Linked DNA regions of Ovis aries. The protein of the gene in region 2 binds, or shares a complex with, the protein of the main gene of each other region. Links are inferred from orthologs where the notes say so. Each region holds a gene or a part of one and is shown on either strand. Other genes may lie near its edges.

Region 1 (5,249 bases), on a different chromosome or scaffold from region 2:
ACGTCTTCCTTCTCCGCGCCAGAGACCTCCAGGGGTCCAGGGAGACCAGCTTCGCGGAGCTCATCTCCAGGGAGTGGCCGGACGCCCCAGTCCCGGTGGAGAAGGTCCTGTCCCAGTCCAAAAGGCTCTTGATCATGGTGGATGGACTCGAGGAGCTGGAGCTCACCCTCGGAGACCAGGATTCCAGCCTCTCAGCCAACTGGGTGGAGAGGCAGCCCGTGGCAGTCCTGGCACACAGCCTGCTGAAGAAAGTCCTGCTCCCCGAGTGCGCCCTCCTCCTCACCGTCCAGGACGCGGGCGTGCAGAGGCTCCAAGCCCTGCTCCGGTCTCCCCGTTACCTCTGGGTAGGGGGCCTCTCGGTGGAAAACAGGGTGCAGTTGCTCCTCGGCGGCGGGAAGCACGGTCGTCAGGAGACACGCGCCTGGCACGCAGGCACAGACCACCAGGAGGTGCTTGACAAGTGTCAGGTGCCCGTGGTGTGTGCCCTTGTCCGTGAGGCCCTCGAGCTGCACGGGGAGCCCGAGAAAGGCCTTCCTGTCCCCGGCCACACCCTCACGGGCTTGTACGCCGCCTTCGTGTTCCAGCGGCTGGCTCCCAAAGATGCAGGCCGGCGCGCGCTGAGCAGGGAGGAACGCAGTGCCCTGAAGGGCTTGTGCCGGCTGGCCGTGGACGGCGTGTGGAACGCGAAGTTCGTGTTTGACGGCGACGACCTGGGCGTCCACGGGCTGAAGGGGCCCGAGCTCTCCGCCCTGCAGCAGGCGAGCATCCTTCTCCCTGACAGCCGCTGCGGAAGGGGCCACGCGTTCTCCCACCTCAGCCTCCAGGAGTTCTTTGCTGCCTTGTTCTACGTCCTGCGAGGCGTCGAGGGAGACGGGGAGGGCTACCCACTGTTTCCCCAGAGCACAAAGAGCCTGATGGAGCTCAGGCACGTTGACCTCAACGTCCACCTGGTCCAGATGAAGAGGTTCCTGTTTGGCCTTGTGAGCAAGGAGGCGACGCGGGCCCTGGAAACCCTCCTAGGCTGTCCCGTCGCCCCCGTGGCTAAGCAGTGCCTTCTGCACTGGATCTGCCTGCTGGGTCAGCACCCTGCCGCCCCCGCCGCCTCCTCAGACTTGCTCGAGGCCTTCTACTGCCTTTTCGAGACACAGGACGACGAGTTTGTTCGCTTGGCCTTGAATGGCTTCCAAGAAGTGTGGCTGCAGTTGAACCGGCCGATGGACTTAACGGTGTCCTCCTTCTGTCTCCGTCATTGCCAGCATTTACGGAAAGTTCGACTGGATGTCAGAGAGACGCCAAAGGATGAGTCTGCTGAGGCATGGCCCGGGGCTCCCCAAGGGTGAGTGCCCCACCTCTGCCATTCCCATTCTTGTGTTTCTTTCCAACACAAGAGAGGTATAACTGAGCAAAATTGCACGCATGTAAGGTGTATGATTTGGTGTTTTGATGTACCTGAAATAATCACCATCAAGCTAGTCAGCACACCCATGCCTCATATAGTTACCATTTTCTTTGTGTGTGAAAACACCTAAAGACTATCCCCCTGGGTCTGCATCGTGTTAGCACATTAGAGCTCCAGAATGCGCTCATCCTGATAACTGCAACTTTGTACCCTTTGGCCCACATCTCCCAGTTCCCCACGCCAAGGCCCAGGCAAGCACCGCTCCACGCTCGGCTTCCGTGAACTTGGCTGCTTTAGAATCTACGTGAGACCGGGCCCGTTGCTCCGTGACTGGCTCATCTCGCTTGGCACACTGTCCTCTGGCTCACCGCTGCTGTGGCCGATGGCAGTGCCTCCCTCTTTTTCAGGCCTGAATCATGTTCCGCTGTGTGTGTGTACACCACATTTTCTCTTTTTAAGTGTTTATGTTTAGTGGGAGGATAACTGCTTCATAGTGTTGTTTCTGCCACACATCCACACAGATCAGCCACAGGTATACACGTGTCCCCCCGCCCTTGAACCTCCCCCCACCCCTAGACCCCCACTCTAGGTCACCACAGAGCACCAAGCCGAGCTCCCGGTGTCATGTGGCAAATTCCCATCCGCCATCTGTTTTACACATGATAACGTACATGTTCCAAGGCTACTCTCAGCTGATCCCAGCCTCTCCGTCCCCCGCTGTGTCCACAGGTCGGCTCTCTAGGTCTGTGTCTCCACCCCTGCCCTCCAAGTAAATGCATAAGTACCACCTTTCTGGATCCCATATAATGTGTCAATAGGCAATATTTATTTTCATCTTTCTGACTTCACTCTGTATATAACAGGCTCTAGGTTCATCTACGTCATTAGAACTGACTCAGCCTCATTCCTTCTCATGGCTGAGTCACAGCCCACTGAGTGAGTATGTGCCACAGCTGCTTTATCCACGCCGCTACCGGTGGACATCTAGGCTGCTCCCACGTCCTGCCTGTTGTAAACAGCGCTGCAGCGGACGCTGGGGCACACATGCCAGTTTCTTTACCCACTGATGGACACTTAGGTTGTTTCTGCATCTTGACTGTGGTGAATAATGTACAAATGCTTCTCTGGGACCCTGATTCCAATTCTCTTGGACACACCCACAAAAGTGGGGTTTCCGGATCATACGGGAGAGGATGAGATGGCTGGATGGCATCACCGATTCAGTGGACACAAACTTGGGCAAACTCTGGGAAACAGCGCAGGACAGGGAAGGCTGGCGTGCTCCAATCCATGGAGTCACAGTCGGACATGACTTGGCGACTGGACAACAACAAATGGTAGTTCTATTTTCAATTTTGGGGGAGGGACGTTCCATACCGTTTTCCATAGCGGCTACACTTTGACGTTCAAGAGGCAGCTAGAATTCAAGCACAGATCTTACTTAGAGCTGGCGGTATGCCCTGTGGGTACAGAAGTGTTCTGGAGGCAGTTTGGTTATGACACTACTTCTCCAGACCATGAGATCAGATCCACTCAGAGCCTCTGAGACCCTCCCCATCCTAACAGCCTGACTGCTCTCCTCAGGCATGGATCGCGCAGTTGCTCATGTCGAATCCATCCTGTGTGAACAAATGTTTGTTTCCTTCTCCGCAATAGGCTGAAGATCAAGACCCTTGATGAGCACTGGGAAGACCTCTGCTCCGTGCTCGGCACGCACCCAAACCTACGAGAGCTCGACCTGAGTGGCAGCGTCTTGAGCAAGGAGGCCATGAAGACCCTCTGTGTCAAGCTGCGGCAGCCAGCCTGTAAAATACAGAATCTGATGTGAGGCTTCCCAGACCCCGTACCTCCCTCTGTGTGTGGCTGTGTCACAGTTCTCCTCTCCTACCTACTGATCTTTAGAACGTATTTGCAGGGAATAAGGGCTGTGGAAGGTGCAGGAACCAAGTTCCCAAAAGTACAGGTGGGGAATGACTAAGGATCTTGTGAAGGGATTACTAAGGTGGGTTCATTTACTCAGGGTTTTGAAGGATGAATAGGAGTTGGTTAGCAGGGGAGGTAGTGAGGAAGGTTCATTTCAGTACTGTATTCATTGACACCATAAGTTTACATTGTCTGTCTGATGAATCATGTGTCAGTACCTCCATCAATGCTGTGATAGAAAACACTTTAGATGTTATACGTTTAACCTACGTATGTGTCTATACATACATGTAACACTGGACATCAAAAATGAAAATACAATGTAAAAAAATCATTACTGTATTTACACATATAATGATGTACACATTGATAATGAAGAAGCATCAATAACGTTGCTTTATGGATTCCTGGGTAGGAAAGATCCCCTGGAGAAGGAAATGGCAACCCACTCCAGTATTCTTGCCTGGAGAATCCCATGGACAGAGGAGCCCGGGGGGCTACAGTACATAGAGTCGAAAAGAGTCAGACATGACTTTGCAACTAAGCTGCAAGAACAACACCGTGGCCCTGATGAATGAGTCATTACACACTTCTCATGGCGTCCATATTACGGTCACAATCATAACACAATATTGGAAACATTGCTGTATTCTAAAAAAAAAACACATACCTTTAATGATTGGCTGACAGACTGTTTCTCTGGTTATAAGAGAGAAAAGCATTCTGTACAGCAATGTAATTCTTCCAAGCAAAGTTCTAAAATAGTAAGAAAACAAACACATCGTTGGTTTTACACTGAATGCCACTCACCTTCTTCCTGTGTAGGGACAGGCGGCCCACGTCAACACCAGTTTTGCATACGATGGTGTTCATGCGTGTTTTTCTATTTCTTGAGAAAAGCCCCACATACACAAGAACTCATATAGTTTAAACCCGTGTTGTGTGAGGAGCAACTGTAAACGCAAATAATGAAAGATCAGAGTCAAAACGGGAACAGAGAAGGAAAGACGAGGACGCGACGGAACCTGTCCCTTCGTCCTAACTCGAGCCCCCTTTTCTCGTCTGCAGATTCACCGGCGCCCGGGTCACCCCTGGTCTCCGCCACCTCTGGATGACTCTGCTTGTCAACCGGAACGTCACGCGCCTGGACCTGGCGGGCTCCCGCCTGGGCGAGGAGGACGTGCGGGCGGCGGGCGCGGCCCTCAGGCACCCGCACTGCGCGCTGCAGACTCTCAGGCGAGTCCCGCGCTGCCCGCTTTCTGCCGCTCGGGTTTCCGGGCGTTACTGCTTTGCTTTCCACTTGGAAACAAGCTTTCGCAGAAAGCTGCTGAGGTCTTACCAAGCTCTGGGAGTCTGGCGCCGGGACGAGTGCTCGACCGCGGGTGTATGATGAGCGCCGCCAAACCCGACCCGAGGAAGCGCGCGGTCGCCTGCGCTTCGCGTGTCGCGTGCGCTTCACGAAGGGCGCAGTCACGTGCGCTTCACGGGTCACGTGCGCTTCACAGGTCACGTGCGCTTCAGGGTGAAATGCAACTTCCGGGGGGGTCCCTGGGGGCGCCGCAGCCGAGACTGCGCTCGCGATGCGGGGCGCCCGGGTTCCGTCCTGGCCGGGGAACCAGACCCCGCGAGCCGCCCCCCAAAACCCAGCGCGCGCACGGCCCGCGGGACTCTGCTCAGGGCTCCGGGGTAGCCTGGACAGGCGCGGGGTTTGGGGCAGAGTCGGACTGACTGAGCCACGCACGAGCGCACACCCCCACACCTCACACCCCACACCCCACACACACACACACACACACACCCACACACATACACAGACACCCACACACACACACACACCTATACCCGCACTCACACACACACCTGCACCCACACACCTGCACACACCACACGTGCACCTACACACACACACCCCTACACACACACACCC
Region 2 (5,722 bases):
TGGGAGGGTTTATTCACCAGCAGGATTGCATGTTGCTGGGTAGTGTAGTAGGAGAGGAGGGACCAGATCCCATGTTGGAGGAGGGGTGAAGAGAGCTATTTCTAGGCTCTTCTCAGTCAGGCCATCTCCTCCACTCCTGCCAGAGGAGTCTCCCTGAACACACGCGTGTTCATTCATTTCTTCATTTCACACATTCTACATACGGATGCTGTGCCAGGCGCTGTACTCAGCACTGGGAAGCAACGACAATGGAAACCAAATGCAAGTCTGGTCATTTCCTGCCCTGGTTAAAATCTCTCACAGGTATTCTATTTATTTGGGAAGAAAGACTTCATTCCCTGCCCTGCCATTCAGGGCTCCCCAAGTTCTGGAACTCCCCAAATTCCATCCCCAGTCCCTACTACCCATCTCTTCAGGCACCAAACACACTGGATTCTCTGTCTAACAATACATATGTCAGGGAGGAATCTGCCTCTGAGTCCCCTGCTTGTCCCTTCTGCCTGCTTTCAAATTCTACAGATCTTTTCCTTTTCTTAAAAAGTTTTTTTTTTCTTTTGCTTTTCATTTCACGTTAATTAATTAATTTATTTTAAATCCTATACATCTTTAAGGGAGTGGGTTGGAAATATTTCCAGCTCTTCAGAACCTCTTCCTGGGAATTCCTTGGGGGGTCCAATGGTTAGGACTGTTCTCTTGCTGTGCAGGGCCTGGGTTCAATCCATGGTTGGGAAGCTGCCTAGGAGCAGGCCAAAAAAAAAAAAAACAACCCACCAAACAACAACAGAAAAAACCTTTTTCTATCTAGCATGAAAGAATTAAAAAACAAAACAACAGTGCTTAACACATTCTGAATTCTTTGAGGGCAGGGTTCCATGCTATCTTCCTCCAGTGCTCAGCATAGAGCCTGGACTATTCCTTCACAGAAATTCCCTCTTTCTCAGTTCTCATACACAACACTTCGTGCCCATTAATTTTTTTTAACTAGTTATAATTTTCTAACGTACTCTACACATTATTTAGCCTATTTTCTTGGGCAGAATTTTGTGTTGTTGATCACTGGTGTACCGCATTGCTTAGAACAGTGCTTGGAACATAGCAGGTGCTCAGTAGATAAGTACCAAATAAATAAAATGTGCACTCAAAACTTTGGGGTATGTGAGCTACATGGAATGTCAAAAAAGGGAAGCATGTAAGCAAGAATTAGTCAGCCTGACCCCATCGTGTATATCCTACGCGGGGAGAGAAGTGTTGGTCAACCCCCAGACAGAACTCAGTGGTAAGCATCCATTGGCTCTGGTAACGCTCCACCCTGGAGAGGAAGAAAGGGCTCCCCAGGGGTCAGGCTGCAAACAGCTGCATCCTTTCCGTGTATTAACCAGAATGCCTGGCCAGTATTTGTCTTTCCACATTTCCACCTGTCAGGTCCAAGAACCTCGAGGCGGGGAAGGAGAGACGGAACCTTGTGGGGGAGGGTGGCAGTCCCCCCAAGGTTTGGCTCTTTTAATTCAACCATCTCTGAGGTGAGTACCACCCAGACAGTTTGGATCAGTAGTGAATGCGTCCCATCTTCCCAGTCTCCCGGGGGCCTGCTGTTTTATCTCGGAAACAAGGTCTAGGGCTGAGGTCCTGGCCCCCCTCCCCCAGTAATTTCCCGGAGAATATGGGGCGGGGCCGTGAATCAGCACTCGCTCGGACTCGGGCAGCCTTAGTCCCCGCCAGGGGTCCCCAGTAGCCGCGGAATTAGACCTCCCCAACCCGCCCCACACCACCTCCTCAATCCTCCTTCATCTGTCCCGCTATGACCACTGGGAGATGTAGTCTTGACCGCCCCTTTGTCCTTGATCTCCCCAACATATTACCCCATCCCAGGGAGAACTACAACTCCCAGGGGCCCACGAGTCGGGGGCCTGGCAGGGTTGGGGTCTGCAGGTCCAGGGTGGGTGGGGGACCGTCTGGAGAAGCTAGGGCGCAGCGAGCCGGATGAAGTGAAGCACGGGGCTTGTCGAGGGGCACCGGGGAAGAAGGGGATACCCGGGAGGCGGTAGCGAGCTGAGCCGGGGAGCGGAAACCCGAGAAGCGGAAGGGGCCGGGGCGGGGCCGGGGCGGGGGCCTTGCGCGGGCTGGTGGGCGGGGCCGTCTGCGTCACGCGGCGTGGGCGGGGCCGCAGGGGGTTGTCCGCCCGCCGCACGCACAGCCGCCGCAGCCGCCTCGCGCCCGGTCCCGCGGTCGCAGCTCGAGTCGCAGCCTCCGCGCCCGTCGCCTCGAGCCGCTCACGTCTCGTGTGGGTCGGTCCCTCCAGCACACGGGCTCCAGCCGCGTCGCAGCCGCCCTCCGAGCCCTCCAGGCCGTCCCGGATCATCCTCGTCCGGCCCGACCCAGCCCGTGAAGATGGTGGACCGCGAGCAACTGGTGCAGAAAGCCCGGCTGGCGGAGCAGGCGGAGCGCTACGACGACATGGCCGCTGCCATGAAGAACGTGAGTTTCCCCTCCCCTCCCCTCCCCCTCCGCCTCGCCCCAGCCCCTTCGCGGCCGCGGGCCTTCGCGGGCTCTGCCCGGGGACTAGTCGCCCGTCGGCGACTGCAGGTCTGGATGCCCCTGAGGGGGCCGGGGAGGGTCCCGACAACGCTGAGGACCAGGTGTGTGACGCGGCCTCTCCCCGAGCGTCCCCTAGGGCCGGCGGCCCGGCCGCCTCGGCCCTCCCCGCGCGCCCAGGCTGGGGCGGGGTCTTTTCGGGGCCGGTCTCGGGAGCGGGGTCTCTGGCCGCCGCGCCTTCGGGTCGGCTTGGGGACCTGAGCGGGGGGCCGTGCGCATCCTTTGTGCCCCACTTCCCCCTCCTCCCACAGCCTGGGCGTGTGGGGGCGGGGGACCGCATGGATGCGGTTCCTCTTTTCTCCCTGATGTCTGGGCGGCGCCTTTCCCATTCACTCAGCAGGTCTCCGGGTTTTCTAATACCCCCCCCCCCCCGCCCACCCACCCCACTCCCCAAATGTTCCCACTACCTTCTGCAGACAGATCCTTTAGAACCTCCTCGAGAAAAAATGAAGGGTCTCCTGAAAATCTGGACTCAATGGTGCAAAATCGAAACCTCCATGCTCACGTTTTTCTTAACAAAAGGCTCCCCTCTCTCCATTCCCCAAAGCAAGCCCTCTTCTTGCCTTTAGGAAGGGGGGCACGTTTGTCTCGCTAGCGTTTTCATTGATTGTTCTCAATATGTCATCTCCATTTTTTTTCTTACTGTGCTCGTACTGAAAGGGTAGGTATTGTCTCTAAAATAAAGGTTGTGAATTTAGCCGACTGGTTCAATTTGTGACATATGCTGTTTCTTTTTTAAATACAGGCACACATCTGTTGAAATTCCTTTAAGTTGAAAAAAATATTCTCTCTGATCTGATATTGCAAACAAAGCGGTGGTGGGAGGCAGTATCAAGTCATTCCAGAAGATTCTGCATTTGTCATATTGCAGAGAGCCTAGACTGGGTGGAGGCTGGGGAGGAGTTATTTTAAAGGGGAAAAAGTCTTTTTTTTTTGTTTTAATTTGTTTTGTTAGACACATCTGAAGCTTAAAAAAAAAAAAGCTAGCGCATCTTCAATGCTGATGAAAAGAGAATACTGATCTCCAGTTGTCGCATTTTGCAGATTCCTGCCTGTATTGCACCACTTTGTCAGTAATGCTACATTTATCTGATGGGCGGTCAACCGGTTTGATATTAGAGGGGGACATATTGAGCATTACTAAATGAAACATATATATCTAATGATTTCAGTCTCACTATTTTAATATCTAACTTCCTGCCTTATGTAACAAAGGTTTTAAAATGCATCTCCAGTGTGCAGCGGATACAGGAGTGTACCTTGCACATGAAACCTCTTTAATGAGGCGGTATAGGCATTACAGATTAATTAATTCTCGAATAACTCTACTGGTTCACAGGAGATGACAAGGCTGATGCCTTTACATTTAAACCAGCTACATTAGCAGAGAAGATTATCTCATTAAGGAAGAGGATTGGTTCTGAAATTGGGAGTACTGCTGTATTAATATACTGTCACAGTCGCTGTCTTTATAAGGTGCAAATGATAAGTTGCACTTCAGTGGATATCAATATCATTTATCGCGTTATTTAGACTCTTCTAATTTTTCCATATTTCTAGTTTCACAGGAAAGCGAGTGACCTCGCACCTATATCCATAGCAACCCAGTGATGTCACACACAATGACACAGAGGCTGCAATGCACCTCAGGGCTGGTAGGGAGTATGCAAATGGCATTTGTCCAGGGTAATGCAGAAATTAGCAGATAAGCCAGGTGGAATTGAGCACTTCCTCTTCCGCCAGAGGAGAATTGGTCCCCCAAAGAAGAATGTCCTTTATCCTGACACAGGCACACCAGGGATCTCTGGATATGCCTGTTCACCTTTCCTATTTCCAATTTTCTTGAAAGTTTATAAGATACAGTCATGTTTTTAAACATTCATCTCAATAATAACCTTGGGCATTGAAGGACTAGAGATGGAAAATTTTAAAACAAGAATATGTTTTATACTCATAGTGTAGGGGTATATGTGGGTTTATTGCAGATTATTAACTTGGCAAGTTTTAATAGAAACCTTAAAAAAGATTATGACTTCCTACTGGGACATTTTCAGTAAACGTTAGGGAATGAGAATCTGCTACAGACACCAGCTTGAGATTTGGAAAGCTTCTCTTGCTATGCTTATGCTCCTTAATGGAGTATGGAGGAAGGAAAACAGTTTTATAAAATAAAGCAGACATTTTTCCAAGCAAATCTGTTCACTGTGATTTTGAGGAATTGGTCTTACGTCTGACCTTCCTTTTCTCATCTGTAAAATGGGTCAACACCTACTTGAAACAGTTGTGAGGATTAAATAAAAAATGTAGATGCTTTAAAAAGGTAACTAAGCCTTGTTTCTTTGTTTATATAAGTCACCACAGAATTTGGAAAATACAGGAAGATAGAAAATACTCAGTCCTACCACTAAAGTGAGTTCTAAGGTTGAACTCATCCAGATGCTAGAGTGGTGAAATTTATTCCTATCTAGTGAAGGTACCCTAGTAATAAACGGGACCTGTGATAGTTATAGGTGTGCAACCAAGATAGAAATAATACGTATTTTGAAAAAGAGGAAAGAAGGAAGTTTAGTCTTTTCAGACACGTGTAGGCTTGTATCTAAAAAGAAGCGATCACCTAGATATTTCCTACTTGTTAGACAATACTGACTTGTCCTTTGGATTTTAACAGCCTCTTGAGCTACTTGTATTTGCCTTGGGAGGGGCTGGGGAGAAAAGGTTCTAGGCAACTAATGTTGAAGTTACTGGGATAAACATTTTATGGTGTGTTGGCGGCAGAGGGGCATTAGTGGCAAAAGTCTATCCTAATTATGTAAAAATGCCTTCCTAGCAGAATCTATATACTTAAAAAAAATTTTTTTTAACTATGTTAAATATTCTGTTTTTTTCTGCTAGCTCTTCCAGGAGGCTAGATCAATAGCCATTATCACTAATGGAGTAATGACACCTCTGTAGCCTCTTTGTGGAGTTCTGCCAGCCATTATTATAATCGAAGTCATGTGGCTTCAATTGTTCTCTTTGGAGTGGAAGAATACAGATAACAGTTGGCTTTTTGTGTTCACCTTCCCGATAACTTAAATGACTGCTAAGTGCCTCTTCTAATTATTTAAACAATTTCATATGGGTTTTTTTT
Region 3 (5,835 bases), on a different chromosome or scaffold from region 2:
CAATCCTGACTATTCATTGGAAGGATTGATGCTGAAGCTGAAGCTCTAATACTTTGGCCACCTGATGCGAAGAACTGACTCACTGGAAAAGACCCTGATGCTGGGAAAGACTGAAGGCGGGAGAAGGGGACGACAGAGGATGAGATGGCTGGATGGCATCACCGACTCAATGGACATGGGTTTGAGTAAGCTCTGGGAGTTGGTGATGGACAGGGAAGCCTGGTGTGCTGCAGTCCATGGGGTCGCAAAGAGTCGGACACAACTGAGCGACTGAACTGAACACAACACTGTAAATCAGTATGTGCCTAGTCATTTAGTCACGACCAACTCTTTGCAACCCCATGGACTGTAGCCCACGAGGCTCCTCTGTCCGTAGGTTTTGCCAAGTAAGAATACTGGAGTGCATTGCCATTTCCTTCTCCAGAGGATCTTCCCCACCCAGGACTGAACTGGTTCTGAATTGGCAGGCAGGTTCCTAAGCACTAGTGCCACCTGGCAAGCCCCAATACTGGAGATTTTCTATACTCCAATACAAAATCAAAATTAAAGAGAATCTCAGACCTGCACTAAAAAGTGGAACTTTCTAAGACGATGGGAATGTTATAGATCTGCAGAGAGGCCAGTCGTCCCCAGCCAGGTGCGGCTACTGAGCGGTTGACATTGATTCAGCCTGTGACCCCAGAGGAACCGAGTTTGAAATTTTATCTTGTTTTAATTCATTTTCATTTAAATAACCGCAGGTAACCAGTGGATATCGTGGGAGACAAGACAGCCCCGGATAATAAACTGGTGTGTCCGGCTGACCCTCTACAACCACGGAGAGGAGTGGAGCACGCAGAGGGAGGCAATTAGCAGGCTGGACCATAAATAAAATACACTTCAATTATGGGCCAGTGGAGGGATGGTGGGCAAAAACCTGTATTTGAGGCTTATACATGGCAGCTCTCACTTTGTCCTCCACAAACAAGCCACAGAACCCAATTTGTGTGTTTACATCTTAACCGCTGGGGGCTACACGTCCTAGGATCAGAACCCTCAGTCACCCGTTTCCCTCCCACGTCTACCCGCTCTCCACGACAAAACTCGGACTTTGGTGGGGAAGGAGATTTCTCTGGTTTGTGTGAATCCCAAGCCTGCCTACCCCCGCGCCCCTTCACCACCACTCCCCAGGACGCCCCCTTCCCCACCCCAGTGCCTGTGGCCAGGTGCAAACACATGGGAGAATCAGCATTGTGTGAGTTTTGAACACAGCAGGGTTTAGGGCTACGGAGATTACAAGATTAGCTTCAATATAAACCAGATTTGGAGAAAAATAAGAACTGTGTCCGGGGGATGGATGCCTTCCTGAACTGGTGACCTCTGAGCTAGAGTTGAAGGTGAAGTATCCAGCGGGGGGAACAGCCCAGGAGGGAACAGCCAGGGCGAAGGTTCTGGGGAGGGTACAAACTTTACCTCTCACTCCCACACTCTGCACTGGCCACTTCCCATCTCAAGCAGGCCATTTCACACCAAAAACAGGACTCCTGAACCTCTCCACACACATCCCACCCTTATCTCTGAGGTCACCCTCAAACCTAGAGTAGAATTAAGCTTCCCTCCTTGGCCTTGAACCTGGAAAAGTGTACCAGTTCCAAGGCCTTCGCAGTTCCTGCCTTTGGTTCTCAGATTTCTCAGAGCCTCAGTCCCCGGGCTTGGAGGGCTGCTGGGAAATTTCGTTGATAAAATGCACAGCCCCAGGCTTGCCTCCTAGGAGGCTGGATAAAAGGGAGCCTTTGAATTTTCCCCAAGAAAGGGGACCGAAGCTTCGTTTGCATTACACGTTATTTAATACTGAGGAGAAGGTGTTTAGCCCGTATCTAAGGATCGAGTGAGAGTGCTTCCCTTCCCCGCCTCGCCCTCAGCCAGGAGCCGCTCCAGGGCAGGACGAAAAATTGACGTGGCTTCTCACAAAACAAGAATACACACCTCCCAGTCTCTCCTCAAGCTGCACCTTGTGACCCCAAGCCCCTTGCCTTAACTAAATATTCTCATCCCTGCCGGGACCCCAAATTGCTTACAACTCTGCACGCTGCCCTTCCCCACCTCGGGACCGCAAGGGTTAAGCGCAGGCGCCGGGCCCGCTGATTGACAGTCCTTCCGGCGGCTGAGGAGAGCCGACCAATCAGAGGCGGGAGTTGAGGCCCACGTGGGTAAGCGCCCTTACGATTGGTCAGCGCCGCCGGCGGCCGCCTGCGGAGCCCGATCCCACGTGCAGCTGCTGCTAGTTCATTGACCGGCTTCGTGGTGCAGGTGGCGGCGGGGCGGGGCCGGGGCGGGCAGGGGCGGGGGCGGGGCGGGGCGGGGCGGGGCGGGGCCGGGCCCGATGGGTCAATTGGCCTCCGGGGAGGGGGGGGTGCTTCCTGTCCGCCTGAACTTGGCTGACCCTGGCGGCTTCCTTCTGGGCCACCATCCTAAGAGAGGTGGATAGGCCTTTAGATCTCTTGGCAGACCCCAAAGTCCCTGGGCTGGGGAGGAGGCGGGAAGGGTGCTGAGGGGCAGAAGTAAAGGAGTTTAGTGCCGCAGAACTGATTAGGTCTCTTTCTTCTGAGAAATTTCTAATTCACCTAGCCAACTCTTATTCATCCTTCAAAACCCCTTTCCAAATGATGTTCTCCGGTGCTTTAGGAAATTGTCTCAAAACTAAATTTGAGCTTTGATATCTTTCTCTGGGGTTCCTCCAGCCCTGGCTGCTCCTAGAAGGAAGTGTATATGTTTGGCACCATACCCTGCGCCCCACCTCGTAGAGTGAAGTCCTAGGGGGCTCCCCACCAGGAATCAGCACATCTGGAAGCCCCAGAGAGAGGTGAATGAATGAACATCGGATGTAGAGAATGCAGTCGGGTGCTGGCAGTTAGGAGATTGGAGGCCCAGGACTCAGTCCTAGAGGGAAGATCAAGGTGGGCCAAGGGTGGGGTGGGGCTGGTTGTGTCTCTGTTCCTGATCAGCCTTCTGCGCTCAGGATCTGTCATCTCCTTGTTAATTTTAGAGTCCCTGGCTAAAGTCCTTGTTACTGCAGCCTGAAGAGTGACCTCTTGGGGTCATCTCAGCCCCCACGGGCACCCTCAAAACATGGTGAGGCATTACCCCTAGGGGAGGGGCGAGGAGGCAGCAGCTGGGCTCAAATCTCTCTCTCCTGCTCCTAAGGGAGAGACATGGGCTGGCTGGCCAGGCCTTTAAGCTGGGGATACTAAGCCATCATACTTTAAGGCACTTTCGTTTTAAAATTAAACATTTTATCACCCAGGTGATAAACACCTGGCTACATCATCTATTCAGTTAATATTTTACAAGTCCCTTCCCCTTTCCTGCCCCTGACCCCATTACTTCCCAGAGAAAACCACTTCTAACAGTTTAGGCCAGGGGCCGGCAAGCTTCCATAACAGGCCGGAAAGTAAATATTTTCAACTTTATGCCAAGAATCAAGATGGAAGATACTGTGTGGGTACTTAAGTAATAACAGAGAGAGAGCAAATGACCTTCAGGTCTCAGGAGGTCCCACCCTGCCCTCTCTGAGGCTGATGACCTGACAGCAAGTATGCTGGCAGTCTGTGGGTTTCATTCATCCCCCACTTTGACTTCTCCAGGCACATCCTGAGGCCAACCTTCCAGCCCGGAACTATCAGGACATCCTGGATCAGCTCAAGCAGCATTTCCCCAGGTGAGGACAATCCCCGGGGGCTAGAGGCACCACTGTGGCCTGAAGTCTCATAGGGGGAAAGAACCCAAACTTTGTCTCCATGGCCCAAAATGCAGGACCAGTGTGGGCAGCGACCATGTTGGAGGGTGAAGCAGAAGGAAAGGAAAGCCAGTAATACCAATCCTGGCTTTCATTTCAGTTTTTGACTGTGTATGGTTCAGTGTGAATTTGCTCACATTCAATTATATTTTATAAAATACTGCATTATTCGTTCGTCTTGACACTGCCTTCAGTGTGGCACGTGGAAGGGACTAGCTCCCTTAATGGAACTGCCCTGCTGGGGGACTGAGGGCAGGGTTCATTCTGGGGAAGGGTCTTGAGGCCTCAACTTCCAGCAGGTCTGTCTTCCCCACCAGGTTCCCCACTCACTTGACGACGCAGGTGGACCTCGCTTACGGCTTGGTGAGCCCCGCCCCCACCTGTCAGCCCGTCTGGAGCCACCTGGAAAGGCTGTTGTGTTTAGTCTCATAATCCGGGTTAGGGGACACCGCCTCTACTTTGCTTGCTTTAGGCAATGCAAAGAACCCACTGAGCCCCATCTTCGTGTGTTTTTCTTCTTTTAAATGGAATTCAGTCATAGACACTTTTATTTTTTATTTTTGGCTATGCTGGGTCTTTGTTGCTGCTCTCAGGCTTTCTTTAGTTGTGGCCAGTGGGGGCTACTCTTTGCAGAGCACAGGACTCGGTAGTTGTGGCTTTCAGGCTCAGAGCTGTGGCACCTGGGCTCAGATGCTCTGAGGCATGTGGGATCTTCCCTGGCCAGGAACTGAACCCATGTCTCCTGCACTGAACCACCACTGAACCACAAGGGAAGCCCATGTGAGTTTTTCTTAATTAATAAAAACCTTGCTGTGAAAACAAGCAATTCCATATTTAAATTAAGGAGATGTTTCTTCAGGCCACAGTTGGTCAGTTCAGCAGTTTATGTTCCAGTGTGTGCTGTCTTCTGGAACTTTCCATGATGTTAGGAATGTTCTCTATCAACAGGGTCTAGTATGGCACCCACCTGCCCCACGTGGCTACTGTGCTCCTATAAGGAACTGAATTTTTATTGATTTAAAGTTAAAGAGTCTTATTTGACTGGTGGTATCCTCATTGGACAAAGCAGCTCTAGGGGGAGGAGGGAGACAATATGTAACTAGAGAAGCAAGATTTCACGAAAATGTAAGTGCTTAAAAGAAAATAGAAGGGGTGAAATGAGTCACTGTTTTGAGCCCAGGTAGTCAGGAAGGGCTTCTTGGAGGAAGTGACGTGCTCAGCGAGACATCAAAGATAAGGAGTTTCTGTCACCCTAGAGAGAACAGGGAAGGTTGTTTCAGGCAGCAAGCATAGCATGTGCAGAGGCCCTGGGGAAGGACTGTGCCTGGTGTTGGAGAAACAGTGAGGAGGCCCATGTGGCTAGAGCAGTGAGTGAGGGGGAAAGAGGGAGGCGGAGAGGGCAGGGAGGGGGCAGGGCAGGTCACAGCCCCCTTTGGCCTTCTCTTCACATCTAGAATGACAGTCAGTTGTTGTTCAGTCGCTCAGTCGTGTCCGACTCTTTGCGACACCATGGACTGCAGCATGCCAGGCTTCCCTTGTTTTCCACTATCTCTGGAGCTTGCTCAAACTCATGTCCACTAAGTGGTGATGCCATCCAACCATCTCATCCTCTGTTGCCCACTTCTCCTCCTGCCCTCGATCTTTCCTGGTATCAAAGTCTTTTCCAATGAGTTGGCTCGTCGCATCAGGTGGCTAAAGTATTGTAGCTTCCGTTTCAGCATCAGTCCTTCCAACGAATATTCAGGGTTGATTTCCTTTGGTGTTGATTGGTTTGATCTCCTTGCAGTCCAAGGGACTCTCAAGAGTCTTCTTCAGAACCACAGTTTGAAAGCATAACAGCCAGGGGTCTCCCTAATTACCTCCCACTCTGAGTATGCTTGGCCGTATCCCATTTGATGAGAGCAGAGACCAGAGAGGTTTCACAACTTGTCCAGGGTCACACAGCTGGGGAGAGGGTCACACAGCTGGGGAGAGGGCCGCACAGCATTAAGTCTTGCACTCTTGCTCGTGTCCGTCGACTGCCTCCTCATATGATTGCTGGTGTTCTTTGCAGGTCCTGA
Region 4 (5,691 bases), on a different chromosome or scaffold from region 2:
TATTACTCTCCATATTAGAAAATCAACAGATGTTGGCCCACCATCCTGATAGCTTTTTCTATTAAAATATGTAGATTTTCAGTGGCTTTGCATCGAGCTTGACATTTTATACCTTAGGTGACACTTGGTAGTACTGGATCGCTAAATCACTTTTGCTCTGTGTATGAAGTTATTTTCTTGTTAAATCCAATGAGAAATTCTGCTTGAGAGTACAGTTCTTGGCACTCCATCTCTTATCCAGAAAACACTGAATTCGGCAAAGGTTCAGTGAGTAACAGTGAGTCCCCGGAGATATACATGCAGCCACGGACCAATTCTTCCTTTCTCATTTATTGAGTATAATAGCACTTGAAGGTGAAGAGAGGGTCAACACTGTGGAAAACTTGCCTCCTGGCAGGTGGGTTTTAACTCACTATTTTTCTTCTATTAAAGGAAATGCACTGTAAAAATTTTTGTTTTTCGTTTCCAGTATCTAAAAGAATGACTGTGGAGATGGCCTTGCCATGAGCCCTAAACTAGAGTTTCCAGCCCAAAAGGGCTTTGAATGAATGCCAAGCTCTAAGAAATCCCACGTGAATGCAGATTTTATCTGAAAATTTGTGTTTTATATACCGAGCTTTGCCCCAGGCCATCGGCAGTGTTGTTACTATGCAGTGAATGCTGCTGCTGGTGGTTTTTTTCTTTGTTGGGTATTAATCCAGCTAAGACAATACGTGACTGTAGTGGTGCTTGGCAGTTTTCGCATTAAACAAACTGGCTTCCATTTCTCTCGTAGAGATCATTTTTGGCATTTAAAACCCATGCCTTTAGAAGACAGGTTTGAGTGCATGTAAACGCAGGGTTAATCCTCCACACCCTGGACTCCAGAGCTGTTGACAGAATCATGCTTTGCAGATTTTAAAATAAACTTTTTGTCACTCTTTGCAGCTTGGTATTCCCCCTTTGCCCCCCATCATTTTTTTTTATTCCCTCCTAAATAAACCTCTTTTTTAAAATAACTGATGTTTCTGGCTCACAGAAAAGAGTATGTTTAAAGCACACAGAATATATCCAAATTAGCTACAAGTCCGATGACAGTTTTTTGAACATGGACTTTCACTTTTATTACTTAGGTCCTTTCTGGCTCTTCAAAAGCAACAAGATTCTCTGTCTGTAACCCAACTGGGGAGATCCTGCTGACTTCTTACTGGAAAAGAGTCAGCTCCAGGCAGCCTTTTTTTCTGCATGGTATTTAAGTTCATTTATTACAAAAGCCGCAAGCAACACGCTTCTCCAACTGTCTTTCCCTTTTTTTTTTTTTTTGAGTGGGGGGATGTTGGTTTTTCTCCTATCTGGCATACAGGGGGGAATGTTTTCTCCAGCTGGGTTTCTTTCCTCTGGCACTGCCGTATCTGAGAATCATATTATGTGTGAGATTGCGTCCCCCGCCCTCCCCATCTTTCAAATAAAACACATGTCGTGGTAGCCAGAGGCAGACCCCAACTGGCAGTAAGTTGTTCGCCCCCCTCCCTCCACTCAGCTATTTTGTTACTTGTAGATCATGGTCTAATTATTTAGCGTTAAAGGGACACGCATTCTGTGGGGTGTGTAATCGTATTTATAGTACGTTTTATTAGTTTGCATTCCATCGTGGTAGTGTGGTGATATCATATGTAAGCGGGGCGCGTAACATCCGATTGCTCCTGAGAGGCTTTTCCTGCAGCCCCTGCAGTGTCACTTGTCACTGTCGGGTTCGATGGGAAGGGGGGCTCCTCTGTGTGCTTCTGCCGTGGGTGCCAGTTGCTCCGCATCGGTGAGACAGCGCCCGGGTGCCCAGCTCGGTTTGGAAAGAACTGTCCGGTGAGCGCGCTGCGCTGAGATTTATAGCCGCACAGCTCGGACTGTGTTTGCTGCCTTAGTCAGCTGTGAGAGCTCCCCGCTGGGGCCACTCCTGTCTGATGGAAAAGCAGCAGCTGGGAAGGTGCTGTTTCAGGCTCTTGCTGTTTAAAAAAAAATGAGAGCGAGAAGGGGAAGAAAACTCCACTAAGTCCAGAAGCTGGCATTGGAGAGGGAGACCGCGGTCATGTGGTTCCGGCCACCCTACCCTCTGTCACAGTGCGGATGAGAGCTTTCTGCTCTTATCCAATCATGCCTGGAATGCCGCTTGCCACTTGGGTTATTTCTGCTATCTGCCGCCCTTGGTGCCGCAGTGCTCACGCTTTGGCAGATGGAACGCTTTTCCTTGGAGTTCGTGTCTTTGGGGTTTGACTGCTGGCAGCGCCGGGCCTGTTGTTGCTGCTCGCCCTGTCCCTCCCTGGCCCTCTGGGCACCATGGCCCATCGGCTTCGGTTTCATTTTGGCTCCTGCCGCAGCAACACAGCCCCCGAGTCGGAGATCCTAGACCAGGAGGGAGAAGACGACTTTTTCATGGCATTCCACACGCTCCCGCGGCGGGGCGGCGCGGTTGCGCTGGCCCCGAGCGGAGCGCAGGACGCGGGCCTGCGGGGAGGCGTGGGCGCGCTCAAGCGCAGCACGTCCATGTTCATTCCGCAGCTGCTGGGCCCCGTGGACGCGCGGCCCACGCGGAGCTCGTCCGTGCAGATCTCGCTGCAGCGCAAGGCGGCTGACGGCGCCCCCGACGACGGCGACGCGGGCACGGAGCCGCTGGGGGAGCCCCCCGAGGCCAAGAGCCTCGACGACGGCAGCGGCGATGGCTCCCCTCCCGCGGGGCCCGGAGCTCCGGGCCCGCAGCTCAATGGCACGTGCGGCCGCCGCCGAGCGCCGGGCCCTGACGGCCGCGAGGAGGCCGAGCCGCCAGCCGTGCGCATCCAACACCGCGCGTCCAGCGCCGATGTGCGCCCGGTGAAGCTGACGCCCTCGGGGGCTGAGGGCCAGGCTGGCCCCGCGGCGGCAGCACCCGAGCCCAGGCGCTGGTCCCTGCAGCACGTTCCAGACGCTTCTGGAAGCTCCGGGAAGCGCTGTTTTGTCTTCCAGCTGCAGCAGCCGCCAGCCGGTGGCTGCGGGCCCGCACCGGGCGGCGACTTCAACTTTGGCTTCACCGGCACCAAGGGGGACAGGTTGGTGAGGTATCCCCGAATCCGGCTGGAGAGGAGCAGCTCGTACCCCACGCAGCCCCGGGCCGAGCGCGGGAGTCCTCCGGAGGAGCACGGCCACCCAGACCCGGAGGCGCCGCCGCGGGGCCGCAGGGTGGCTCCCGATGCCCACAGGACCGATGCGGCGGCCGAGAGGTCGCCACAAGGCCAGGGCTGCACGTTTAAGATCAGGCAGGATCAAAACGCGGGGCAGCAGCACTTCAGAATCCTCGTGACTCGGGGGCCCGAGGAAGCCCCCCAGAGTCCCGAGGAGGACGCCGCCGCGGCCGGCCCGGCTTCCACGGGAGCTGGCGCCCCGGTAAGTGAGCCTGTGATGCCGTGTGTCCGCAGGAGGAAGGGGCCGATTCTAGCCCAGCAGGCGTATTCTGCAGCAGAATTAAAATAAACAACATCCTCCTCCCTTCTGGGACTTTCCCTGCTTCGGGCCAGAGTAACTGAGTGTGTTTGGCCGGTTCTGGGTCCACGATTTGTGGTCCCGCCTTTGGTAGAAGTCCATGAAACTAGTTAGCCGATTTTAGAAAATATCGTAGCCTTAGGTCTTCAAAGTCACATAACTCTGTTTTGAAAAATCTGGACAACCCTTTCCCCCTCGTTTCCCTCCCTTCTCAAAAAAAGAATTTTTAAGATGTCGTTACTTTTTGAGTTAATGTGCCGTGCCCCAGCATGTTGACATTGGAAATGTGTTAAAAAACTGCTTGCAGATACAGGCTGTGACAACGCTGGCATTTAAAAAATAATCCGTTCTAATCCAGGTGAGAGAATCGCAGGTTAAACGTGTCTGGTTTCTTCATAATTAAGCATATGTCAGGTTGGACACATTCTTCCTAATGACCTTTTAGCTGTACAGGGCTGGCCCTGGTTGTATAATGTATTGTCTTTGTGGGTTGGTTGTTTTTTTTTTTTTTTCTTTTGGTCCCACTAAGTAAGAGTGAACAGAGGTAACCACAGTTGTGGGCTGGGAGGAAATGTGTTTTGAAGCAGATTGGCCTGTAGGGCCAAGGCCAGGGGAAACTGATGGGGGACTTGTTAATGGTCAGGTTGCACACCCCTGCAATTTAACACTGCCCACTTGAGTGTCTAAGCTGTGCTGCTGTATATAGAATAGTTAAGTGCCCAGCCTCCAGCTGTGGAAACAGAAGCCCAGCAACAGATTTTGGCCTTCATTGCTCCTGTGTTCTTGCTCTCTCCCTTTCAGTGAAATGGAGTACAGACAGACAGCTGCTAACTCCACCAGGCAAATGATGACTGCAGCTTTCACAGTTTGTCATGGGATGCGAAGTTTCATCAGTTAGCTTTCTTTCACTACTAATCACTAGCCACGTGCTTCATTTTTTTTTCAGAGGACAGGCTCCTTGTATTCTGAATTGGGGTTGTTTTCCTTGAATTTCCTCTGATGGCTGGATTTCAGGATACGGCAGTGAAATGTCTAGGAGACTCTGTGTTTGGTTTCAGTTGTGAATTGCGACTTTTCAAAGTGGATGACTGAGTTTGGCTGTGGAACCGTATCATCTTTTATTATTTTGTGTCGAGAAATACTTTTTGCCATATGAGTAAGTTTTATCACTGATCCATCGTTGTCTTTCACCATTTTGAAGGCATATAATCAGGTGCTAAATGTCAGTATATTTTTCTTGTTAATATAACTTTATAACTGTTAATGTAACTGTTTCTTCTTCTTTTCCCTTTTATACACCCTTTTCTTTTATTATCTCTAGTCTTTTCATTAGGAAATGCTATATTTTTGGTCTGAACCAATACCGTTTTTATACAGTGGTACAGATTTCAACAAAATTCTGATAATAGCCTCTAACCTTCAGCCCAAGAAAGTACCATCACAACAGGTATAGACTTCTTTGGGCAGCATATTTTTGTGCTGAATTTGGACCACCTACCACATGAATATTGACAACATGCGTATCCTAAGTTTTGACAACTTATCAGACTTTGAAATCATTTTGCAGTTAGGTGTTGAGAACAAATGGATTTTTATAATTACAGTCTCATTTGGCTTGACGTTTCTCCCAGGATTAAAAAAACAAGTGGAACATACCAAACACTGTGTGTAATTTACATGTAAGGGCCATTCTAACTTTCAAGGGCTGTTAGAGTGGAAAATAAAATTTCTTCACATTTGGAAATGTAAGTTCTAGAATAAAGAGCTTTTTGTGGAAAGTAAGTTCCCTCTAAAGCGTAGTAGTTTTTATTTTTGAATCTGTATTTTTGTACACTTCTATAAATTTGTGAAGGGTTGGTAGGAAGCTGGCTTTTTCTTTTAAGTGAAAACTTGCTTCTTCGAGAAGCAGAAACAAAACTTGTCTCATAACAAAACTGTCGGCTCCATTCAACACTTTGTACGTGTTTCAAATGGGCAGGGGTGTTAAGTGTAGGCAGCAGCTGCCTCGGCCTTATTTATCTTGAGGGAAAACATTCACTTGGGCGTCTACAGTCTGGCCGCCACCAAGCTCTTTTGACGTTTCAAATATCTGCTGCTTTGGACAGAAGGGCATTTCATTATTAGTTTACATGAAAAATCGATTACAGTCAGGTCTTTTGAATGATGTCAAAAATCTTGATGGGGAAAACCTTTCAAGATTCCTTT
Region 5 (5,249 bases), on a different chromosome or scaffold from region 2:
AGCTCATCTGAGTGACTGCAGGACCACGAAGACAAACAGGAAACTGTGAAAGTAGCCGGAGAGAGCAGACAGGCAACCCACAAGGAGCAGTGTGAGCCAGACACCAACCGCTTCACAGTGAAGGAAGCAGAAGACAGCGGGGCAAGGTCTTCCGTGTCGAGAGGAAGAGCCCACCAGCCCAGAGCCGCAGGCCCAGCGGGACTGTGGCCGCGGGGCTGGGGTGGGTGGGAAGAGAGAAATAACCTGGGAAAGCTTGACCCGTGAGACCTTCTCCAAAGGAAACTGTAGGAGCTTCAGGCAGGACGACAGCCCGGGCAGCTGTCTGTTGAGCAAGACGGAGGTGTCAGTGCAGGAAAGCCCGAATCAACAGGAACTCCAGGAGACAGTAACAACGATGCCACGTCAGTGAAAGTCAAGAAGGAGGCAGAGTGAGGGCCGCGAGCCCTCAGTCAGGGGCGACAGGGAATTCGGCCGGGCCCTGGAGCGGGGGCTGCCTGTACTGCAAATAAACATGGGGAACGCTGGCTGCAGTGCACTTGTGAGGAGCAAGTACTTTGTGATCGGTTTAGCCCGCGTGCTGGGCGGCTCTGTGGCAGACACCCGGCGTGCCCTGTGGCCGTCAGGCAGGTGGGCCGTGTGCGCCTCCCCACTCCACCTGCGGCAGGGACTTCAGGGAGAGCTCGGAGCAGAGATGCTCACACCCTCTGTCTACCTTTTCTCTGATCATTGGAAGAAAACCCTGAAGGGCAGATGTGCTTGTCGCTCAGTTGTGTCTGACTCTTTGTGACGCCCTGGACCATAACCCGCCAGGCCTCTCTGTCCATGGGATTTCCCAGGCAAGAATACTGGACTGGGTTGCCATTTCCTCCTTCAAGGGATCTTCCTGACCCAGGGATCAAACCCACATCTGCTGCTTGGCAGGCGGATTCTTTACCGCTGAGCCACCAGGGAGGCCCAAAGTGGGGATATTCAAGCCCTGTCTATAAAACCCTTGTTGACAAGTGTGATGAAACTGATGTTTCCGAAAAGTCATCATCCCTTCCCCTGACGCTGTGCCGTGCATCCAGCGGTGGAGCCCATGCTGCCACCCCTCTGCGCCAGCTGCCTCTGGACACCAGCTAGTGTCCTGCCCACACGGGCACCCACGAACGTACCCGAGAGCCTCCTAGGGGAAACACCTTAAGGAAAATAAGTTTACTTCTGTGAAAACATTTATGTAATGCCACAACCACCTCTGGCTTTTTCAAGCTGTCTTCTCTGTTAGCACGTGCACGTGAGGAAGACACTGATCTGGACGTCCCATCTGAACACGCACGGGGATTCTATGATCCGGACGTCCCATCTGAACACGCACGGGGATTCTATGATCCAGACGTCCCATCCAAACATGCACAGGGACTCTACTGATGGCCTCGAACTCACCGTGTATTCTTCTTTCATCCCCAGCTCGATCCTCTCCCAGAAAAGGTCTTACAGCAGAGACCCAACGCCAACGCCGTGCGGTCGATGGAGAAGGTCATTGAAATCCACAGTAAGTTGCCTGGCCCAGGGCTCAGCAAGGAGACCCCCCCCAAGGGAGGGGCCCGACTCCACAGCCCTTCTCCCACCCCCCATACCGCCCCCACCCCCTGCTTCTCTCTCACTGCCAGCAGCGTCCCCAGGCCCGCCTGTTGAGACCTGGCTTTCAGGGCGAATGTGATGAGCTGGTGACTCTCCTCTCACCCCGCTTGACGTCCCAACAACCTGCCACAGCCAAGTCACCAGCTCTGCTTTGTGGGGCAGAAGCGCTGTGGTTCAGGGGGTGTGTGAGGTCCCTTCTCCAGGCTCCCCACTGACAGGCTGGGACCCGCATGGAAGCCTGTGTCCTCGGGTCTGGCCTCTGCCCTTGGACCAGCAAACCCCACTCCATCAGTTCAGGGTACCCTTGGCCCAAAGACCAGCCCTGCCCCTCGAGCGATGGGGCCCAGGAGCCCAGGGGCTGCACACGGACTTCTGCCCCGCCTTTATCCTGGGTCTGCGGGGTGGCCCAGTCGCCAGTGTCCGTGTCCATGGGCGGGACCCAGGGTCTCCTGCTGTGCACTGAGCTCCTGGCCTCCTGAATGAGGAGCCCTGAGGCCCAGGAGACACCGGGAGGCTGCCTGCTCCCACCCCCATCATCTCGGGACTCCAGCAGGGAGTCAGGGAGTGCTCGTCCCAGCCGCCCCACCCTGAGGGAGGGACCCTCCCTGGAGCCCACCCCCACCCAGGTGTCCTGCCCCTGAAGGGCCCAGTTCTCCTGGTCACGGGGAAGCTTTTCCAGACTGCCACCCTCTGTGAGTTTCTAACCAGGCCACCTCGTGGCTTCTGTCTCTGGAGAGCGTGGTGCTTTGGAGTCACCAGCGATGGGTGCTGCTGGAGCCCCGTGGGCCCAAGCACAGGGATGGGGTCCCGTATCTGAGCAGTCACCCGCCCCTTCCGCAGGCCAGTACTGGCGCTCCCTGCAGAGGCTCGCCTCCACCGCTGGCTACTCCCTGGTCGAGGCCCAGAAGTGTGAGAACGAGGAAGCCGAGACTGTCACTGCCATGGCCTCGCTGTCTGTGGCCGTGAAGGCCCCTGAGAAGAGGTGAGCACGGACACTGGCCGGCGGTGGGTGCTGCCGCCATCTGCGGGTGACCCGGGTCTTTGCTCCCGGGTGTATTGGGGGCACGTGCTAGCTCAGCAGGGCGGGGAGTGGGTGAGCTCAGCAGGGCCTCACCCTCGCCCCAGGGCAGACTGCACCACACCTCTTCCCAGAAGCAAGAGCCTGAGAAAGACTTGAAGGGCGTCTGGGCCAGAAGGAACACTTCCCTAGGGGAAGAGTGGGGGTCGCTGAGAGTTGAGGGGGCGGGGGTGGCTAGGAGTCGGGGCGGGGTAGCTAGGAGATGGGGGTGGAGGTGGCTCGGGGTTGGGGGCGGGGATGCCTCGGAGTTGGGGGGCAGAGATAGCTAGGAACCTTGCACATCCACCCTCTCCTCTGTTGCCACCCCGCCCGCCCGCCCGCCCCAGCAGACCCGACGAGGAGCCCATGGAAGAGGAGCCGCCTCTGTAGCCGCTCCCGCAGCTGCGGGTCTCTTGTTTGTCTGTCTCCGTCTTGAAGCTCCGCCGAGAAAAGTTGCTGCCGCCCTGCGTCCTGCCGGCCTCCTCCGAGCCCGCGGGCGCGGCGGGGCGAGCCGCAGCCGGCGGCCCTCTGCCTGCCGGACCCGGGCAGACGTCGGGACGCGCCGACACACGGACGTGCGGGAGCGGGCGCTCCGGGCCCCGCAGGGCAGCCGCGGAGGGAGGGAGCCCGCGGGGGCTCGGGGCAGAGCCGCCTGCCGAGCGAGCCGACCCGAGGAAAAGAAAATGAAAATCAAAGATCTCACGACACAAAACAAACTTGATTAAAACTGGTGCTTACGGTTTGGTGATTCCCCACAATCCCACAGTCTCCGTGTAAACCACTCAACTCATTCTGTAGCTTATTTCTTTTCAGAGAAGAGTCAGCCGCTCCGGCGCTGGCCTGCCCCTGCGCACCGCGGGTGCGCGGTGGGGCTGGGACACGGAGCGGGCGAGCGTTTAAGGAAAAAAAAAAAACTGGACAAAAGCAGAAATGTGAGCCCGTGCGGCTTTGGTTTCTCAAAGCCGACGGAAGATGCGCGTTTGTGCCTTTTTTTTTTATTGCTCTGATGGATTTTTGTGGCTGGGTTTTCCGAAGTCCGAGGAACAATGCCTTAAGAAAAATAAACAGCAGGAGTCGGTGGGACCGCTCCCTGTGGCCGGTGGGGCCGGAGGCCGGCTCGCACTGGCCTGGCGCTTCACAAGTGGTCCCCGCCTCGGCCAGCAGCTCTGGAGGGCTGAGGTCCTGCCACCCTGTTTCGCTTTATTGCTGTTGAAGAAAAATGGAGGTAGTTCCAAAATAGTGGCAAATACTGTTGGGGGTTTCGAAGTCCAACAAATTTTAAATGAATCCAAAGTGTTCTTTTTCTCGTACATCATATAACAATTGAGCATCTCCATTTGGTTGTGAAGCATGTCCTAGGCACACTTTCAGTGTTACGATCGGAATGCTTTTTATTAAAAGCAAGTAGCATGAAGTATTGCTTAAAATTTTAGGTATAAATAAATATATATATGTATAATATATATTCCAATGTATTCCAAGCTAAGAAACTTGATTCTTATGAAATCTTGATAAAATATTTATAATGCATTTATAGAAAAAGTATATATATATAAAATAAATGCAGATTGTAAAGGTCCCTGGCGAATGAACGGCTTGTGACTCAGCTCTCAAGGTGCTTGTGGAAAGGGATCTAGTTTGAAGCTCATGTTATTTCTGAACTCCAGATTGGAGAGCTTTCAATCACAGGTTCGCCATGGGACACCTGCCCTGCAAGATTGTACCTTCATCTTAATTATTTTCTGACCTGACCCCTCCCCACTCCAAGCCTCCATGCACATGTGTACCTGATAAGTTTTTATAGCAAAGGATATCAATTTGCTGTTGATTTTGTATGAATTTTTTCACAAAAAGATCCGGAATAAGCATTGTTTTGTGAATTTTACATTTTTTCTCACCATTTAGCAGTTTTCTGAATGGTAATAACGTCAACCTTTTTCCTTTCTAAACTTTTGCTTGTACATTTTTTTAACTTTGGAAGGTATTTTTTTTATTATTATTATTATTATTTTCATTTTGTTTATTTTTGTACAGTGAGCACAGAGTTTATTTTCAGAGTGAGCGCGGAGCGTGCAGCGGGGTCTGAGGTCTGCCCACCTGGGCCTGCCTGTGGCTGCACACAGAGCGTGGAGCCTTCCTTTGCCGCCCGTGCTTTCTGGGCAGGGGGCACCCTCGCAGCGCTGAGCTGAGGGGCTTGCCAGCCACCATGGGCCATCAGTATCCATGAAACTCACGTGTAGACGTCTCTGACCACGTGGTCAGGATAGCATTTTTCACTTGGCTTTTCCAAAGAGCTTGTAAACTTGTCGGCCACGCGTGTGGCCAGTGGGCCTGTGCACCCTCCCCAGGCTCTTCTGCGGCAGCCACGTGGCAGGGCCCTGGCTAGGGGCAGTAGGCCTGAACTTTGAAGCCTGTGGCCACGGAGAGCCTGGACCCTCGCTGCCTGGTGACCCCGTGGGGACAGCAGACTCCCCATCAGGACGTCTATCCTTGGCTCTTTTTTTTCTCTTTGACAGTAACTGAAAAGGATCAGTTTTTAGTGGTAACTCATTTTCCAGCCCTGAAGCCACCA

The links.
Region 1: the proteins of YWHAG (region 2) and NLRP5 are in contact, whole or in part, in a cryo-EM structure (PDB 8XI3), measured with the Mus musculus proteins. The link is inferred for Ovis aries from reciprocal best matches to the Homo sapiens genes YWHAG and NLRP5. Residues at the interface, in NP_061359.2 of Mus musculus: Phe201, Tyr216, Thr220, Met223, Gln224, Arg227, Asp228, Thr231, Ser235; in NP_035990.1 of Mus musculus: Ser1030, Cys1031, Ser1055, Gln1058, Cys1059, Pro1060, Val1061, Glu1084, Phe1087, Val1088, Lys1089.
Region 3: the proteins of YWHAG (region 2) and TLE6 are in contact, whole or in part, in a cryo-EM structure (PDB 8XI3), measured with the Mus musculus proteins. The link is inferred for Ovis aries from reciprocal best matches to the Homo sapiens genes YWHAG and TLE6. Residues at the interface, in NP_061359.2 of Mus musculus: Lys50, Arg57, Arg61, Lys125, Asp129, Arg132, Tyr133, Gly174, Leu177, Asn178, Val181, Glu185, Phe201, Asp202, Ile205, Ala206, Leu208, Asp209, Glu213, Tyr216, Lys217, Thr220, Leu221, Ile222, Met223, Gln224, Leu225, Arg227, Asp228, Asn229; in NP_444484.1 of Mus musculus: Phe137, Leu138, Ser139, Glu140, Ser141, Asp142, Leu144, Gln145, Leu295, Arg347, Asn430, Leu447, Gln470, Met472, Asn489, Asp510, Asn511, Thr512, Met530, Pro553, Arg555.
Region 4: the proteins of YWHAG (region 2) and NEDD4L are in contact, whole or in part, in a crystal structure (PDB 6ZC9), measured with the Homo sapiens proteins. The link is inferred for Ovis aries from reciprocal best matches to the Homo sapiens genes YWHAG and NEDD4L. Residues at the interface, in NP_036611.2 of Homo sapiens: Lys50, Arg57, Arg61, Lys125, Arg132, Tyr133, Gly174, Leu177, Asn178, Val181, Tyr184, Glu185, Leu225, Asn229, Leu232, Trp233; in NP_001138439.1 of Homo sapiens: Pro444, Arg445, Ser446, Leu447, Ser448, Ser449, Pro450.
Region 5: the proteins of YWHAG (region 2) and HDAC4 are in contact, whole or in part, in a crystal structure (PDB 3UZD), measured with the Homo sapiens proteins. The link is inferred for Ovis aries from reciprocal best matches to the Homo sapiens genes YWHAG and HDAC4. Residues at the interface, in NP_036611.2 of Homo sapiens: Asn43, Leu44, Ser46, Val47, Lys50, Asn51, Arg57, Phe122, Lys125, Arg132, Tyr133, Gly174, Leu177, Asn178, Val181, Glu185, Leu221, Ile222, Leu225, Asn229, Trp233; in NP_001365345.1 of Homo sapiens: Ser348, Pro349, Ser350, Leu351, Pro352, Asn353, Ile354, Leu356.

What each region holds. Positions count from the first base shown.
Region 1 is NC_056067.1:64,169,351-64,174,599, forward strand, and holds part of NLRP5 (NACHT, LRR and PYD domains-containing protein 5), read left to right. Parts: coding exon 1-1,336; intron 1,337-3,055; coding exon 3,056-3,223; intron 3,224-4,390; coding exon 4,391-4,558; intron 4,559-5,249. UniProt on the Homo sapiens protein: Component of the subcortical maternal complex (SCMC), a multiprotein complex that plays a key role in early embryonic development.
Region 2 is NC_056077.1:34,831,822-34,837,543, reverse strand, and holds the start of YWHAG (14-3-3 protein gamma), read left to right. Parts: upstream 1-2,199; 5' UTR 2,200-2,388; coding exon 2,389-2,475; intron 2,476-5,722. UniProt on the Homo sapiens protein: Adapter protein implicated in the regulation of a large spectrum of both general and specialized signaling pathways. Binds to a large number of partners, usually by recognition of a phosphoserine or phosphothreonine motif.
Region 3 is NC_056058.1:18,578,008-18,583,842, reverse strand, and holds the start of TLE6 (transducin-like enhancer protein 6), read left to right. Parts: upstream 1-2,394; 5' UTR 2,395-2,936; intron 2,937-3,025; 5' UTR 3,026-3,108; coding exon 3,109-3,111; intron 3,112-3,349; exon of another isoform or gene 3,350-3,477; intron 3,478-3,623; coding exon 3,624-3,697; intron 3,698-4,092; coding exon 4,093-4,138; intron 4,139-4,968; exon of another isoform or gene 4,969-5,142; intron 5,143-5,828; coding exon 5,829-5,835. UniProt on the Homo sapiens protein: Component of the subcortical maternal complex (SCMC), a multiprotein complex that plays a key role in early embryonic development.
Region 4 is NC_056076.1:57,723,455-57,729,145, forward strand, and holds the start of NEDD4L (E3 ubiquitin-protein ligase NEDD4-like), read left to right. Parts: upstream 1-2,185; 5' UTR 2,186-2,310; coding exon 2,311-3,390; intron 3,391-5,691. UniProt on the Homo sapiens protein: E3 ubiquitin-protein ligase that mediates the polyubiquitination of lysine and cysteine residues on target proteins and is thereby implicated in the regulation of various signaling pathways including autophagy, innate immunity or DNA repair.
Region 5 is NC_056054.1:2,403,210-2,408,458, forward strand, and holds part of HDAC4 (histone deacetylase 4), read left to right. Parts: intron 1-1,446; coding exon 1,447-1,531; intron 1,532-2,460; coding exon 2,461-2,602; intron 2,603-3,024; coding exon 3,025-3,067; 3' UTR 3,068-5,249. UniProt on the Homo sapiens protein: Responsible for the deacetylation of lysine residues on the N-terminal part of the core histones (H2A, H2B, H3 and H4).